2 linked regions of the Caenorhabditis elegans genome follow. The protein of the gene in region 1 interacts with the protein of each later gene in a pairwise test. Each region holds a gene or a part of one and is shown on either strand. Other genes may lie near its edges.

Evidence for each region.
Region 2: the proteins of got-2.1 (region 1) and mpz-4 interact in a two-hybrid assay, tested with the Caenorhabditis elegans proteins (one large-scale study listed by BioGRID).

The regions. Positions count from the first base shown.
Region 1 is NC_003279.8:4,635,818-4,644,485, reverse strand, and holds got-2.1 (Aspartate aminotransferase), read left to right. Parts: upstream 1-3,603; 5' UTR 3,604-3,613; coding exon 3,614-3,796; intron 3,797-4,634; coding exon 4,635-4,927; intron 4,928-5,349; coding exon 5,350-5,506; intron 5,507-6,045; coding exon 6,046-6,398; intron 6,399-6,515; exon of another isoform or gene 6,516-6,653; intron 6,654-6,677; coding exon 6,678-6,951; 3' UTR 6,952-7,054; downstream 7,055-8,668. Other genes in the region: Y119C1A.1 (RanBP2-type domain-containing protein), read left to right, coding at 431-517, 1,234-1,462, 1,786-2,022, 2,237-2,470, 2,889-3,079; acbp-1 (Acyl-CoA-binding protein homolog 1), read left to right, coding at 8,145-8,156, 8,423-8,668.
Region 2 is NC_003282.8:4,824,151-4,830,750, reverse strand, and holds mpz-4 (PDZ domain-containing protein), read left to right. Parts: upstream 1-3,430; 5' UTR 3,431-3,485; coding exon 3,486-3,587; intron 3,588-3,885; coding exon 3,886-3,996; intron 3,997-4,044; coding exon 4,045-4,262; intron 4,263-4,309; coding exon 4,310-4,458; intron 4,459-4,513; coding exon 4,514-4,824; intron 4,825-4,869; coding exon 4,870-5,045; intron 5,046-5,089; coding exon 5,090-5,231; 3' UTR 5,232-5,263; downstream 5,264-6,600. Other genes in the region: tat-2 (Phospholipid-transporting ATPase), read left to right, coding at 617-945, 1,165-1,381, 1,903-2,000, 2,107-2,224, 2,640-2,675.

The DNA of each region.
Region 1 (8,668 bases):
CTCACTCGCACCCAACACACACGATCAATTCAGCTGTGGGCCCAGGCGCAGAAGGGAATATGCGAAATAGTTGGAAAAGTGGAGGGTGGGACGCAATCGGGCGTCATTTCTTATGTTTGCACTGGGGAAATGTTCGTTTTTACTTGTCTTTTTGCATGTATTCTGCAGAAATTATCAATCAAAACAATAATTTTTCGAAATTTGAGCATTTCATATTTGTTTTTTAAAGCCAATATATTACAATTGAACAACTTCTTTAAAGGAAAAACCAAGATTTTTTATTACTAAGTAGCAAAAAAGTATAATATATTTTAAAGCAAATAAAAAAAAATTCTCATTATTATATTCCTTCGTTGTCAACTTATCAGCTCCGTTGTTTTTACATCATCGAAAAAAGATAAGATAAGTCATTTCAGGGGGTGCAAACTTGATGGCAACACAGAAGAAATCGTCACTTTCGAGTTGTCGAGGCAAGGATTTAAGCAAGATGACGGATTTGAGCAAGTTGTATAAAAAGGTTGGAAATTTTTGGAAAAATACCAAAAAATCTTGAGACCTCTGACCAGGGGTGCGCGGCAATTGCCGACCAGTTATTCTAGAAAATGAGACGGTTGGACATGTTCCCCCGATATTTTTTATTAAAGTGTGATGTTACCATGTAGAAGAATATGTATTTACTTTATTTGACTTGGAACAACCGATAAAGTGTTCAAAAAATTGTCCGAATTTTAAAAATTTCTGGCGGAAATTGCCGTAAAGTTTTCGGCAATTTTCAACATTCAGATTATTTTTCAAGATTTTTCCAATTTTTTCTACTAAAGCAACAGTTATTTTCGAATAAAGCGAATATTTTTCTATATTTTATCATTAAAGTTTAATGAAACATATCGGGGGAACATGCCCAACCGTTTCATTTTGTAGCATTTCCGGCCGGCAATTTCCGCGCACCCCTGCTTCTGATACAAGATTGGCTCCAAGAAATGTCAAATCAATCAATAAAGAAAAAAGTAAAATAATGGACATTCGAACGTATCATTATCAAAAACGGGTCGACTCGCACCCTCTCGGGAGGGCAAGCCCTCCATTATCACTCATTCTCGATACATTTAATCATTGTTCTTCCCAACACACACACTTTTCACCTTTTTTCTTGGAAGTATTGATTCATTTTTGATTTTTCCACTAAATTTCTCGGAATAACTTTCGAATTAGTTCGAAAATTGTTAATTCCAGGTCGAACGGATAAGTAAACGAATTTTCCACAGTGAGAAGCCTCAATCGACCTTTGTTCCTTCTGCTCAACAGACCAATTCTGCTCAAAGTACTAGTTCAAGTAGTACTACCGATCCACAAATGCCTCATCAACCAGTGCTTCTGAATCCTCCGTATCCTCCGGTTCATCCTGGATTTGGAACCGGGTTTCCACAGTTCTCATATCCACAACATCAGCAGCAAATACCAAGTGAGAATTGATTTTTTTTCATAAAAAACCGAATCCCTTCGGAAAGCTTACAAAAATCAAATTCAAGCATTTTCGAAGATCCAGCAACCTTTTTATAAATACAAATTCACTTTCTAACAGCTATTTTGTAAATTATTTAGAGTCTATCAGAAAAAATGCAGATGACTGAATATACTGTCAACTGCTCTTTTGAATTTCCCGTTTCTCTAAATAATATAAAAAACAACAAAGGATAATCTAGATAAACTTGTCTTCTTCTTCTTTTCAACCATAAACAAACGATTATCCTCTTTTATTGTATATAAATAATATAATTTTTGCAGATCCACCATATGGTTGGGCTCTAAATGCAGCAGCTCTACCTCCGTATCCATCATCTACTGCCTCATCATCTTCAGCTTCACAAACTCCATCATTTGCTCCTCTAAGCCTTGATACTGGATCTGGAAATGAGACGGCTGGTAGTGGATTCGATCATTTAGCCGTTCATCACGATGATAATCACGATGAAAGAGACTATTTGATACCAGATCAACATGAAATTATTGAGCTCCGGAAAGGTAGAAATATAAAAATGATTCTCAGGACCTGGTCTCGACACGAATATAGTTTTTTTTCGTAGATTCTTCCATCAAGTTTTATGAGAAAAAATCGAAAAAAAAATAGTGTATAAAATGTTTCGTAATTCATTTCGTCCGTGTGTTTGGGTATTTTTTGGGAGCAAAGCCGAAAACTAAAAAAACGACAAATCTGTTCTCAATTTATTTTTTTCAGCTCAATCGGCTAAACTGGAGCAAGGAAAACAACGGGTAATCAACGAGGTGACATCACTAAATCTAATCACAAATGACGTCACTGAGCTCAAAAAATGGTTTGATGCAAAATATCCACATACACTGGTTAACGATGCCGCGACGAATGAAGAAGAATTGGAGAGAACTGTTCGAAAATTGGAAGAAAAATTAAAAAGGTTGAGAGCAAAAAGTGCAAAAGGAGTTCCACCTCCAAGTGAGTGCTAATCATGGATGAAAGCTCATTATTTTTTGGGAATTCTACGAAATGACCTATGTTCTTTTGCACCATGTTCTTTCAACATTTTTCATTGAAAAATAGTCTCAAAATATAAAAAATCACTTGATTTACCAGAAAATAAAAATCTTTTCAACTGAAATATTGGAGAAAGTGCTCAAAAACTACCTGAAAGTTGCCAATCCCGAGCACTTTCTCCAATATTTCAGTTGAAAAGATTATTATTTTCTGATAAATTAAGTGATTTTCTATATTTTCACACCAATTTTCAATGAAAAACGTGATAGGCCATTTTTAGAATTTCCAAAAAAAATTGTCGCCTGCTGCCAATCTTTTTGTAAAATCTCCGAAATACCATTGTCTAGCAATCGACCTAAATTTCCAATTCCTGTTTCAGGACCGCCACCACCTCGTTCAATCAGTCAGGAGAACAGTACGGGTCCATGGATTTGTGATCGTTGTTCCAGAGAGAATAACTCCAATTCGTATCGCTGTCATCATTGTCAGCTCCCCAGTCGTCGATTTGATCCATCGGAAATTGATTTTTGTGGTTGTGAGTATTGTTCCACAGCTAATTCCACTGCCTAAACAGCTTCGATATTGATCGAACAGTCATTTTGCTTCGGAAATTCGGATTTTTTCGCTCTAAAATGACAGGAAAAGTCTAACAATTACAATTATAACTGTTTTAAAAAAATCCAAAAATTTTTTGGAAAAATTGAAAAAAAATCATAATAAATTTAGGAAAATTCTATAAATTTTTTACCGTTATATTCTGTGTCTTCAGACTATATTCTGTCAAATTTTACAAAAAAACCCATTATTCCGCCTGTAACCTTAAAAAAATGCAAAGGTCAATATCGAATCATGTTCTAATGTAATAATAGTTTTTAACCGAAGGTTGTGTTTTTATTGTATATATATTTTTTCTTGATTTTTCTTGATTTTGTGTTCAAACTTTTCTTATTTTTCAATGAAATCCTCGATTTTTGAATTTTATTTATTTTTTCTGATTTTTTTCACGACTTCCTTGTAAGCTCCGTGGCAGCTTCATATTCTAATATCTATCATTTTGTTTCCATTTTCTATTGATTTTAAATTAAAATTGTCAGCACACAGAAAATGCTGGCATTCTTCAGAAGGTTCATGTCAACGACTACTGTAACTGCTCAACCAGTGCTCCCGTGGTTCAGAAATGTGCCGCTAGCGCCTGCTGATCCAATTCTAGGAGTTACTGAAGCATTCAAGAAGGATACGAATCCGAATAAGATTAATTTAGGAGTTGGAGCATATCGTGATGATCAGGTAAGGGGGAAATGCTCAGAATTTTTTATTCTAGAATTAAAAAAAAAAAAGTTTTGAAACGAGTGGCCGGAATTTCAGGGCTGCAATTAAATAATTAAATAAATTGTAATTTCGGACCAAAAATTAATTGAAACCGGTGATAAAACCAAAAAAGCATTAAAAAGAAAAATATTTATTAAATATGAATAGTATTCGAAAAAATTATTAAAGACCTAAAAAAACCCACATTTTTCTATTTTTCACAAAAAAAAAGTGGTTAAAGTGAAAAAAGTTAGTTTTTTGAATTTTTTGGTGTTAAAATACGATTTTCGTTAATATTCTAACAAAAAACCCAAAAAAATGGCCGCGGCAATAATGGCTAATTGTCGAAAATTTTAAAACTCGGCAATTGTCGAAAGTGTCGGTTGCGGAATTTTGGAAAATTCTGCCAAAAATCCAATTTTCATCATGAGAATTAGGGTCTGGGACCAAGAAAAAAAAATTAAAATTTGCGAAAACCCAAAAAAAAATGATGCTTGAATTAATTTTTTTTAAACCGTTAAAAAGTGAACAATTTTTGGTTTTTTAGTTCTAAAACACCAAAAAATCAATTTTTCGTCGATTAACCAAATAAACCAAATAAAATACCAAAAGTGTCACAGCCCTGATGAAAATAAGTTGGAAAAATTATATTTCTTCACCAAAAACACTTACTACAGTGAAAATTAGTTTTTTGCAAAATTTTTTGAGTTTTTTTTTTCAAAATTTTTGAACTCGATTCATGTCGATGTCCAAAAATTTTTGATTGCCGTCTCACCCTCGATTTAATATTCAAATTATTGTAATTTTCTATTTTCAGGGAAAACCATTCGTGCTCCGAGCGGTCCGCGAAGCTGAGCAGCAAATTATAGATGCTAAAATGGACAAAGAGTACTCAACAATCACTGGAGTTCCAGAATTTGCGCCATTGGCTGCGAAACTCGCTTTCGGCGACAATTCCGAAGTGATTCGCGATGGAAGAGTCTTCACAACTCAATCGATATCCGGAACTGGTGCTTTGAGAATTGGAGGACAATTTGTGGAAAAGTTTATTCCATCCAAGACTTTGTTTTATCCAACACCAACTTGGGCTAATCATTTGCCAGTTTTTAGGTAAATTTTTTAAAATTTTATTTTTATTTTTCGGAAATCATATTTTTTAAAAATTTAAATCTATTTTTTTTAATCGAAAAGTCGAAAAACGAAAATTTTTCGATTTTCGGGAAAACAAAAAATCGAAAAAAAATTGAAAATTAACAAGAATTTGCAGCTTTTAATTTTAAAAACTTGTAGCTAAATAGTTTTCGAAAAAAATGTTTTTTTTTGTTTTTAGATTTTCCAAAGAAGCTACACTCTTATCGAGGAAAAAAATCGGGTTTTTTTGAAGAGAAAATCGAAGAACCATACTTTTCGATTTTTTGATTTTCCGTAAAGCAAAAAATCAAAATTTCCATGCACTTGTTGTATTTTTTCCCCTGTTAATTTCTGTTTCTGTTGCTTGTTGTCCACTTCTCACCCTCACCTCCTCTATTCAGAAATTCTGGTCTTTCGATTCAACCATACCGTTACTACAATCAAGAAACTCTTGGATTTGATGTTGAAGGAGCTCTCGAAGATATTTCAAAGATGCCAGAAGGATCTGTTATACTTTTGCATGCTTGTGCACATAACCCAACTGGTGTTGATCCTACTGTATGTTGCTTTGTTGTGATGTTTTGTTTTGTTATTATTTCGGGCCAAAAATACGGTACCCGGTCTCGCCACGAGATTCGTTTTGTTACATGCGAAAAGATGTGCGCTTTTAAAGAGTACTGTAATCTCAAACTTTAGTCGCTTTGGAATTTTCAAATATTTTTCTTTTTTGCCATTAAAAAAAATGTATTTATTGAAAAAAGCGAACAAAAAATAGAAGCACTAAATGCTTAACAAATCTTCAGAAAAAGTATTAAAAATTCATTAAAATGCGAACGAAAGTTTAAAATTACAGTACTATCCAAAGACGCATACCTTTTCGCATTTAACAAAAAAAAATTTCGTGTCAAGACCAAGTACCGTATTTTTAGCGCGAAATTTCGAGTGCTAAAAAACTTATTTTGTGACGAGATACCGTAATCTCACCTAATATTTTATTTTGCACTGTAGATATTGTGAAGATAACTAACTTAAAACAAAAATAATAGTTTTTAAATTGAAGACTCAATAAAACTTTTCAAAACTCATTGAATTTTCAGAAGGAGCAATGGAAAAAGCTGAGCCAAGTGCTGAAAGAACGAAAAATTCTTCCATTCTTCGATATGGCTTATCAAGGATTTGCATCAGGAGACGTTGACGATGACGCATTTGCTCTTCGTCATTTCATAGAACAAGGACACAATGTTCTCGTTGCTCAATCATTTGCAAAAAATATGGGATTGTACGGAGAACGTGTTGGTGCATTTTCGATTGTTTGTGATTCTGCTGAAGAAGCGATTCGTGTTGGATCTCAAATGAGAATTATCATTCGTCCAATGATCTCAATGCCACCACTTCATGGAGCAAGAATTGCTTCACGGATTTTGAGTAATCCAGAGTTGAAGAAATCTTGGTAGGAGTTTCTGAGTTTGTGAAGTCAGAAATTTAAAGATCAGAAACTGAAAAAAATAATTTTGGACCAAAAAAAATGAGATTTGCGAAAAACCGGTTTCTAAGCGACTGATTTTCTAAAATTCCAAAGAGTGTGTGCCTTTAAAGAGTACTGTAGTTGCCGAAAATTTGCTTTTAAAAATATTTAAATAATGGGCAAATTAGCTATTTTTCAAAAAAATGGATCTTTTTTATTTTTGAAATATTGGAAAAACGAAATCTATAAAAATGATTATTTCAGGCTGGAAGATGTGAAACTAATGGCTGACCGTATCAAATCAATGCGTACGGCTCTAAAAGACGGCCTGAAAGCTGAAGGATCTACTCTCAACTGGGATCATATTACCAATCAAATTGGAATGTTTTGTTTCACTGGAATCAATGAGAAACAAGTTCAAAAGCTCATCAAAGAGCACTCAGTGTACTTGACAAATGATGGACGTATTTCTATTTCTGGTATTAATACTGGAAATGTTGCATATTTGGCTAAAGCTCTCCATGACGTCACCAAGTAATGATTTCTCTAAGTTCTCTACGTGTCTAAGTTTCTTTCCGGTTTTATTGAAATTCAGGTTTTGCTTTTTTAAAAAGTCTATAAAATGGTTTTTGGATTTTCTTTTTTCGTCAACATTTTTTCTTTCTTCTTTTGGGTTCACATTCCCATTATCTTATCTTTGATGTTTTTCTTCCTTTGTTTGTTTGTCTTTTTTTTTTTAATTTCAATCTGTTTTTTTATTTTTAGGCTTTAAATCAATTTTATTATTGGTGGGTGAAACTTGGAGTTTTTATAGTTTTGTAGTCAAATTTCTATTTCCAACAAAATTGAGAAAGTCTAAAAATTGTGGCCTTTATCCGTTTTTAATAAGATACGGAGCTCATTCAATGAGAAAATTTCAACTTCCTCCATTTTTCCATTATTTATATCAAAAATTGTTGTTTTTAGGGCTCCCGATCAAGAGTTTCACCAAAAAACTATTAAAACTAAAAAATATTTTTAAAAATCTAATTTTTCTTCCTTCCGACCAAAAATTGAAATTTTTTAAAGAGTTTTTAAGATCGAAAAACCAAAAAAAAATCCTTCTTTGCCCAAAAAAAAAAACGAACTTTTTCCTATTACTCAATTGCAGAATTTTGCGAGTTTCGACGCAACAACACGACACCTGGTCTTGGCACGATCGAAACCTTGCAGCTACAGTACCCACCAGCTTCACTTAATTGCAAAAACTATGCAGTTGTTGAACATGCGAGTACTGTAGCTGTGAAGTTTCAGTCGCTTCGAGACCCGGCACCGTATTTTTAAATTAACAATTGCTGGCGATTAGGTAATAACGCTTTTGCTAAAACCATCGGTGTCTTATCAAAAGTTAATAATTTTTTTCAAGAAAAGAACTGAAAATTGCCAAAATTTCTTTCTTTTTTCTAAACATTTTCATATTTTGTCCTTCTTCTGTGATGGTGTGATCACATAGTTTGATATTGACCACGAAACGTTGTTGTATTCTCAAAAAATTGATACGATTTTTTAGTGATAACAAATGATAAGAGTGTCCGTTTTTCTGACTGTATACTTCTAGTGCGTGGTTGTGTACGTCAAGATAAATACAATATACAAAGTGCCCTTTCATCATTATTTTTCATGTTTCATTATTTTAAAATCTCTTAATTTTCAGGTTCAAACTTTCAACAAGCTCTTCTCATCGTCTTCAAAATGACCCTCTCGGTAAGCTTCAAATTCCGATGTAGAAAATCCAAAATAATCTCAAATTCAGAATAATGACAACAACAGAAAGCAATAATTGTAAAACCGTGATTTTTCAATGTTGGCAAATTCCCTTCAAAATAGCGGAGGGAACTTAGTCAAAATTGAAAAAGAGACATTTTTATAATTTGGCGATTTTTTTCTGAATTTGAGACTACTTTAGATTTTTTGAAGCAAAATGTTGATATTTTCCCAATAAAATCTCACTAAGTCTTTTCAATTTTCAGTTCGACGACGCTGCTGCCACCGTTAAGACCCTCAAGACTTCCCCATCGAATGATGAGCTTCTCAAGCTCTATGCTCTGTTCAAACAAGGAACCGTCGGCGACAACACCACCGATAAGCCAGGAATGTTCGATTTGAAGGGAAAAGCCAAGTGGTCTGCCTGGGATGAGAAGAAGGGACTCGCAAAGGATGATGCTCAGAAGGCCTATGTTGCTCTTGTTGAGGAGCTCATCGCCAAGTACGGAGCC
Region 2 (6,600 bases), on another chromosome or scaffold:
GTTCGGCAAAATTTGCCGGCTTGTCGATTTGCCGCAAATTTTTATTTTAGGCGAATTGTCAACTTTCCGTTGACCGAACATCAATCTTCCGGAAGTTCTCAGAGGGATTTTTTATAAGACGGAAGCTCTTAAACCTGTGCTTTTTGAAATTTTTCCCCGTTTTTTCTAGATATTTTCATAGAGTTTACTTTTTTTCAAAATAGATGTCCGAACATTTATAGAATGCCTACGATTCTGTCGATTGAAATTGAAATTCTAAAATTTCCAGAAAAAAAAATGCAAAGCCACAATTTTTTTTCAAATTTTCGGCAAATTCGGAAAATCGGTAATTTGCCGATTTGCCGGAAACAATCGTTTGCCGCTCATTTTTGAGCTACACTACCACAACCAATTAATGCATTTTATGAAGCAGATTTTTTTAACTGATCATGAAAAAAAAAATTCAACATTTTCACAAGATAATTATACACAATTTAACATATACCACAATGGGTATCTTTTTATTGAAACTGTTTATTTGAAACTTGAGAAGAAATAATAAGCTTTTTAATTTTGTCAAAAAATTTGATACATTTCTGAAACATAATTTTTTTTTTCAAAAGTTCAAATTTTTCAGATAGCCTTCGACACGAGTTATTGGACGGCAATTTCGCATTTTGTAATCTGGGGATCACTTGTTCTGTATTTCCTTGTTTGCTTCCTTCTTTACGAATGGCTTCCAGTTTCATGGATTGTCAAAACATCATCTTCAATCTCATATGGTGTCGCTTTTCGAACAATGGTTACTCCTCACTTCTGGTTTTCAATTCTAATGGTTTCAGTTGTACTGTTACTACCAGTTATGCTTAATCGATTCTTCTGGCTTGATACACATCCATCATTTGCTGATAGGCTGAGAATTCGAAAGAAAATGGGCAAGAAACCATCGGCGAAAGATGATAAAAAGTATGTTCGCTTTTCAAAATTTTAATGTGCGATCAGGTCAATTCGCAATAGCACTATACTATTCGATGAAGCTCCATATTTGAAGATAGCATGAAATAGTGATTAAAAATTGTACTCACATACATAATTCAATTTCAAACTTAGTTTCTATCATTCAAGAAATCGTTTAAACGTTTTGAAATTTTCATTAAATTTATTTTTTTAAATAAATACTTTCAGAACCGCATTCAAACGCACGGCAGCAACTCGACGAAGTGTCCGTGGATCACTTAGAAGTGGTTACGCATTCTCTCATTCACAAGGATTCGGAGAACTCATTCTCAAAGGAAAATTGTTCAAAAATGTGGAAAATCTACGGGGAAAGAATAATTCGAATGCGAAAATTCACCCGACTTCTGATGACTTGCAGCCGATGCTTATTTCTAGTGTGCCTGATGTAAGTTCAATGTGAATTTAAAATTTTTTGGCATGAGAATCGGAAACCTAGATAATTTAAACCTAGACAGAAAATGAAATTACTACTCCCAGTGAATAAAAGATAATCAGCAATTTTTAAAAAATCTTTGAAACAATAATTTCGGAAAATTTCAAATAACTTTTTTTCAACTTTTTGCAACTTTGTGCAGTTACAGACAAATTTCCATTTAGAATTTAATTGTTTTCAAATGTTAGCATTATCCGAGACATTTTTCATGCTTTTAGCCATGAATAACCAAACTCAAAATAAGTTCACGTCCCACTACTAATTGTACAGTAATCATATTTATTAATTTATAATGTTGTTGAAACATTCCATTAAATTTTTCGAACAAAACTTTTTTTCACTTTGTTTGAAGGCAGTAAAACTTTGAAGCAGTAATTTTTAAAATCTCAAGGGTAACATACTTATGGGCTAACTTTTCAGTTTTGTTTTTACAAAAAATTATCCATTTGCCCTTCTAATATAATATATTTCAGGACAGCCAAGGAGCTTCAAGTATTAATGCAATGCACCTTCCAATGGGTACACGTCCACAGAATGTACCCCATACATTGAATGTAAATACTGATGACTGGTAAGTTTTCACATAAAATTTTACACACTTCTAAAGCACGTTGCTTCACTTCTGATATACTTACCGTACTTCTATTGTAACTCTATTGTGTGCCATTTATTCACAGGTCTCAATCATCGGATTTCCGTCCAGCCTATGCAAAGGAACCATCACCACTGCAGGGTACAGTAATCCGTGGCGATGGACGGAGCCATAGAAACCACGTGTATTCGCGGGAAACTCAGGTATAATTGTGCTCCATCCGGTTCTGCCGCTTTTTATCCAAATCTGGCGTTTGTAAATAATTTTCATAATGAATTCTTATTTGTTTCAATTTGCTCAAATTATCTAATTTTGTGTGTACTTGTGTTTGTGTGTTACTTATTTATTATAGTTAGAACTTAATTTTTTTCTTTTTAAATATTAATTTTTATGCATTTTGAGATTACAACTATTCAACATACAGTACTCCTATGGAATACTGTAATTTATTCACTTTTGACCTACTTTTTGATCTCGTGCAGTGCAGTGTGTGCTTTCATTTGAACCCTTTGTGCTTTGACCCTTTTTCTGTTAGTTTTCAACTTTAATTCATTTTTTTTGCAATAAATTTACTTTTGATACATTTTTTCTAAATATAATATTTTATTTTTCCAACAGGTCGAAGAACAACCAGACGTAATCACTCGCCTTTAAAATTCATTTTTTGCATTTATTTTCCGATTTTCTTTCAAACATTCTTCCCCGTCTTGTAGGCACCGGTTTTAGGCTCTCAATTGGGTTTTGTTTGCTCTTTTTCTTCAATTTGCTGTAATTATATAATTGGTGATCGCTGATAATGTGATTGATATCAAAATGGGTAATTTATGATGTATTCCAATCGTGTAATTTTTGAAATATTCAATAAATAATTGTTCATATTCTTGTTGTTGATTAATATATCAGTGTCTATAAAAATTTAATTAAACAAGCAGTGGCAGAAAAAAATTTCAAAAAAAAATGCAGTTTCAAGACATTATTATTACTTTTTTTTAACAAAGGTAACACAAAGTAACAGTTTTTAAAAAATTCTATAGTTTCTCGAAATTGGTGAAAAAGTTTGGATTTCACAATTTAATTTGCTTCGTTGGTAAGTAATTTTCAAACTCACACGTTTCAACGATTTATTTATTTATTTATTTTAATACGATTCCATACGAATCGTGTCCCAAGAAAAAACATAAAACATAAATGATTGATTTTGAATCACGCGATTTTGCAGTTTTATGCCGAAAACATTCTCAATAAGTTCAGTTCTAAAAAAAAGTTAGAAAATCACGTTGAAAAAGATTTAATAATTCTGACCTTTGATATTTTATCTTCACGTTCGATCAATTGCTCTAATTTTTTATTCCCTCCCCCCCACCCCCTCTTATCATTGTTCTTCTCGATTCTAATTTATTTCACAACAATCGATAATTCAAGTATCAAACAAATTCAATTCAAAGCATTTGATAGCTTGAAAAGATGCCACAAGAAATTCCACCTGCAGTCAAATATAAAATCTATCCGGAAGGTGCAGAGGGAATAGACACGGTTTGGGAGCGGCCCGGATTCAAGAAGGGAGAGGTGAGAGGGGTTTTTTGGAATTTGGAAGTTGGATTTGGAATCGAAACAGTGAGAAATTTGAATAATAATTTTTGAACTTTATTCAAGATTTTTTTAATAATTAATTTATTTTTCTTCATTGTGAACAATATTTCTTGAACTAAGTAATTGAGGCAGTCGGGGGTGTTCGAAAGAATATTTTATTATAGAATCAAACTTTCTTTTTTTTAATGGTTTAATGGTTTTTTTAATGGTACACTAGTAGTGAAACATAATTTTATTTTAAAAGTTATTTCTATTCTAGAAACACGTATTTCAGATAGAAGCTCGAGTCAAAGATGTGGTCATTCTGCGTGGAGAACCAGTTCCAAACAGCTACAAAATGCTTGTAGAGGCCACATTTGAGCTCCCAAAGAAGGATAAAATAACGGTAAGCGACATCATCAATGACTTTATGTAAAACGTTTTTGATTTCCAGCAACTCGGACTCGTCAATCGACATGGGTTGGTCACTCGTGTTCATTACGCGAGCCCATTCAAAGGAGCAATTCTACCGGGTGACATCATCTTGCAAGTGAACGGTACGACTGTCTCATTCGATGAGAAACAATTGACAGAGCATGTCGACGAGACCACCGGTGGAGCAAGTCTCCAGTCAAATGTGAAGACTGTTAAGAGGAAGCCAACGACTACACCGTAAGGACAAATGTTATGAAAACTTGAAAAATATTTACCTTATTAAGGAAAACTGAACCTGTGAGAGCACCACATTCACTTTATCCAGACTTCAAGGTTGTTGTCGGAAAGATTTTGAACTCAAAATCTGAGACAAAGATTACGGTTCTGGTCGCTAGATTGAAGAACAGAATGTCTACGTCTAAGATTCCAAATGGTAAGTTTGAATATTTGTTTCTTATTGTGAAACAGTAATTTTCATATAATTTCAGGTATCTTAGCCACACAGGATCACACCATCGATTTGGCCATTCTCTACCAATTCAAATACCTGCAGCTTGGTCTGAACGTGCAGCAGGTCGACAGAAAAGTGGTGGTCAACTACACTATTCCGGATTCAGTTTCACATTGTAGTTTGAATATTGGTGAAGCTATTATTGCTGTTGATGATAAACCAATCAACACTCTGGCAGATAATCGTCAACGATTTCGCGAAGGATTTGAGGCGAATGGATGGATTCGATTGTTGGTTGAGTATCCGAATACGGATCCAATCAAAAATATGGTTCGGGGACAGCTTGCAGTTGGTTATTTGCCTCACATTTTTTTTCTTCTATTTTAATTGCAGAATGTTATGAGAACTGCCGAACGACCGCAATACTTGCTTTGTGGAGATGTCCGTAAATACTTTGTAGAAGGAATTGAAGCTCTGAAAAATGGAAAAGCGTTGGCTCCCATTTTAAAAGAGGAAGAAGGGCCGGGAGAAGTTGGGAAGAAGAAGAGTGATGCGAAAGTTACCAAAAAGTATGTTTTTAAATAAATTAAGATAAAATCTTCAACTAATTCAGGGACCCGGCTGTTGGATTCAACAACACAACTGAAGAATTTTTTATTCCGGCGGAATGGAACTCGAAGCTTTTCGTTTGGCTCCCGCCGCTGAAGACCAAGGTGACCGAATCGGCATCTTCGAACATGCCGGTTAAAAAATGAACTTCATTCTTCTTTAATAAAACATTTGACTGATCTCGGGCGGGCTCGAACCACCGACCTTCTGTGTGTTAGACAGCACAGGTAAAGCGCTAAAAGCGAGACATTAACCAAATGTACGTGAAGGCCCGCTAAAAAGCCAATGATGGGTCGCACCTAAAAATTTTTTTTTTAATTATTGGAAAATCTAACATCGGTGATGGAACAATTTAACATTTTTTGGAAAATACTTTAGTTAAACATTAATTTCAGCTAGATTGTTTTATTCAATCATTTCAAATTTCCGAAAAATTTTTTTGAAAATCAGCTTTTATATATTTTTATCAATTAAAAAAAAACACCCGTACAAGCTATTATACTCTGTTCGGCATTTGCTGCTATTTTTGACTATGCTTAAGAGTTTTATGAAATAAAAAAGAATGACTCCATATGATTTTACAGGACTTTTGAATTTTTGAAAAAATCAGCTTTTATATATTTTTATCAATTTTTAAAAAAATACTTCCGTACAAGCTATTATACTTTGATTGACAGATTCTGGTGTTTTTGACTATGCTGAATAGTTTTATGAAATAAAAAAGAATGACTCCATATGATTTTACAGGACTTTTGAATTTTTGAAAAAATCAGCTTTTATATATTTTTATCAATTTTTAAAAAAATACTTCCGTACAAGCTATTATACTTTGATTGACAGATTCTGGTATTTTTGACTATGCTGAATAGTTTTATGAAATAAAAAAGAATGACTCCATATGATTTTACAGGACTTTTGAATTTTTGAAAAAATCAGCTTTTATATATTTTTATCAATTTTTAAAAAAATACTTCCGTACAAGCTATTATACTTTGATTGACAGATTCTGGTGTTTTTGACTATGCTGAGCAGTTTTATGTAATAAAAAAGAATGACTCCATATGATTTTCCCATACTTTTGAATTTTTGAAAAAATGAGCTTTTATATATTTTTATCAATTTTTAAAAAAATACTTCCGTACAAGCTATTATACTTTGATTGACAGATTCTGGTATTTTTGACTATGCTGAATAGTTTTATGAAATAAAAAAGAATGACTCCATATGATTTTTCAGGACTTTTGAATTTTTGAAAAAATCAGCTTTTATATATTTTTATCAATTTTTAAAAAAATACTTCCGTACAAGCTATTATACTTTGATTGACAGATTCTGGTATTTTTGACTATGCTGAATAGTTTTATGAAATAAAAAAGAATGACTCCATATGATTTTCCCATACTTTTGAATTTTTGAAAAAATGAGCTTTTATATATTTTTAATATACAAATACTATTTTCAAGCCATTAATTCATTTTTCTTCCCGGAAATCGATTTCCGCGGAGATGGTTGCTG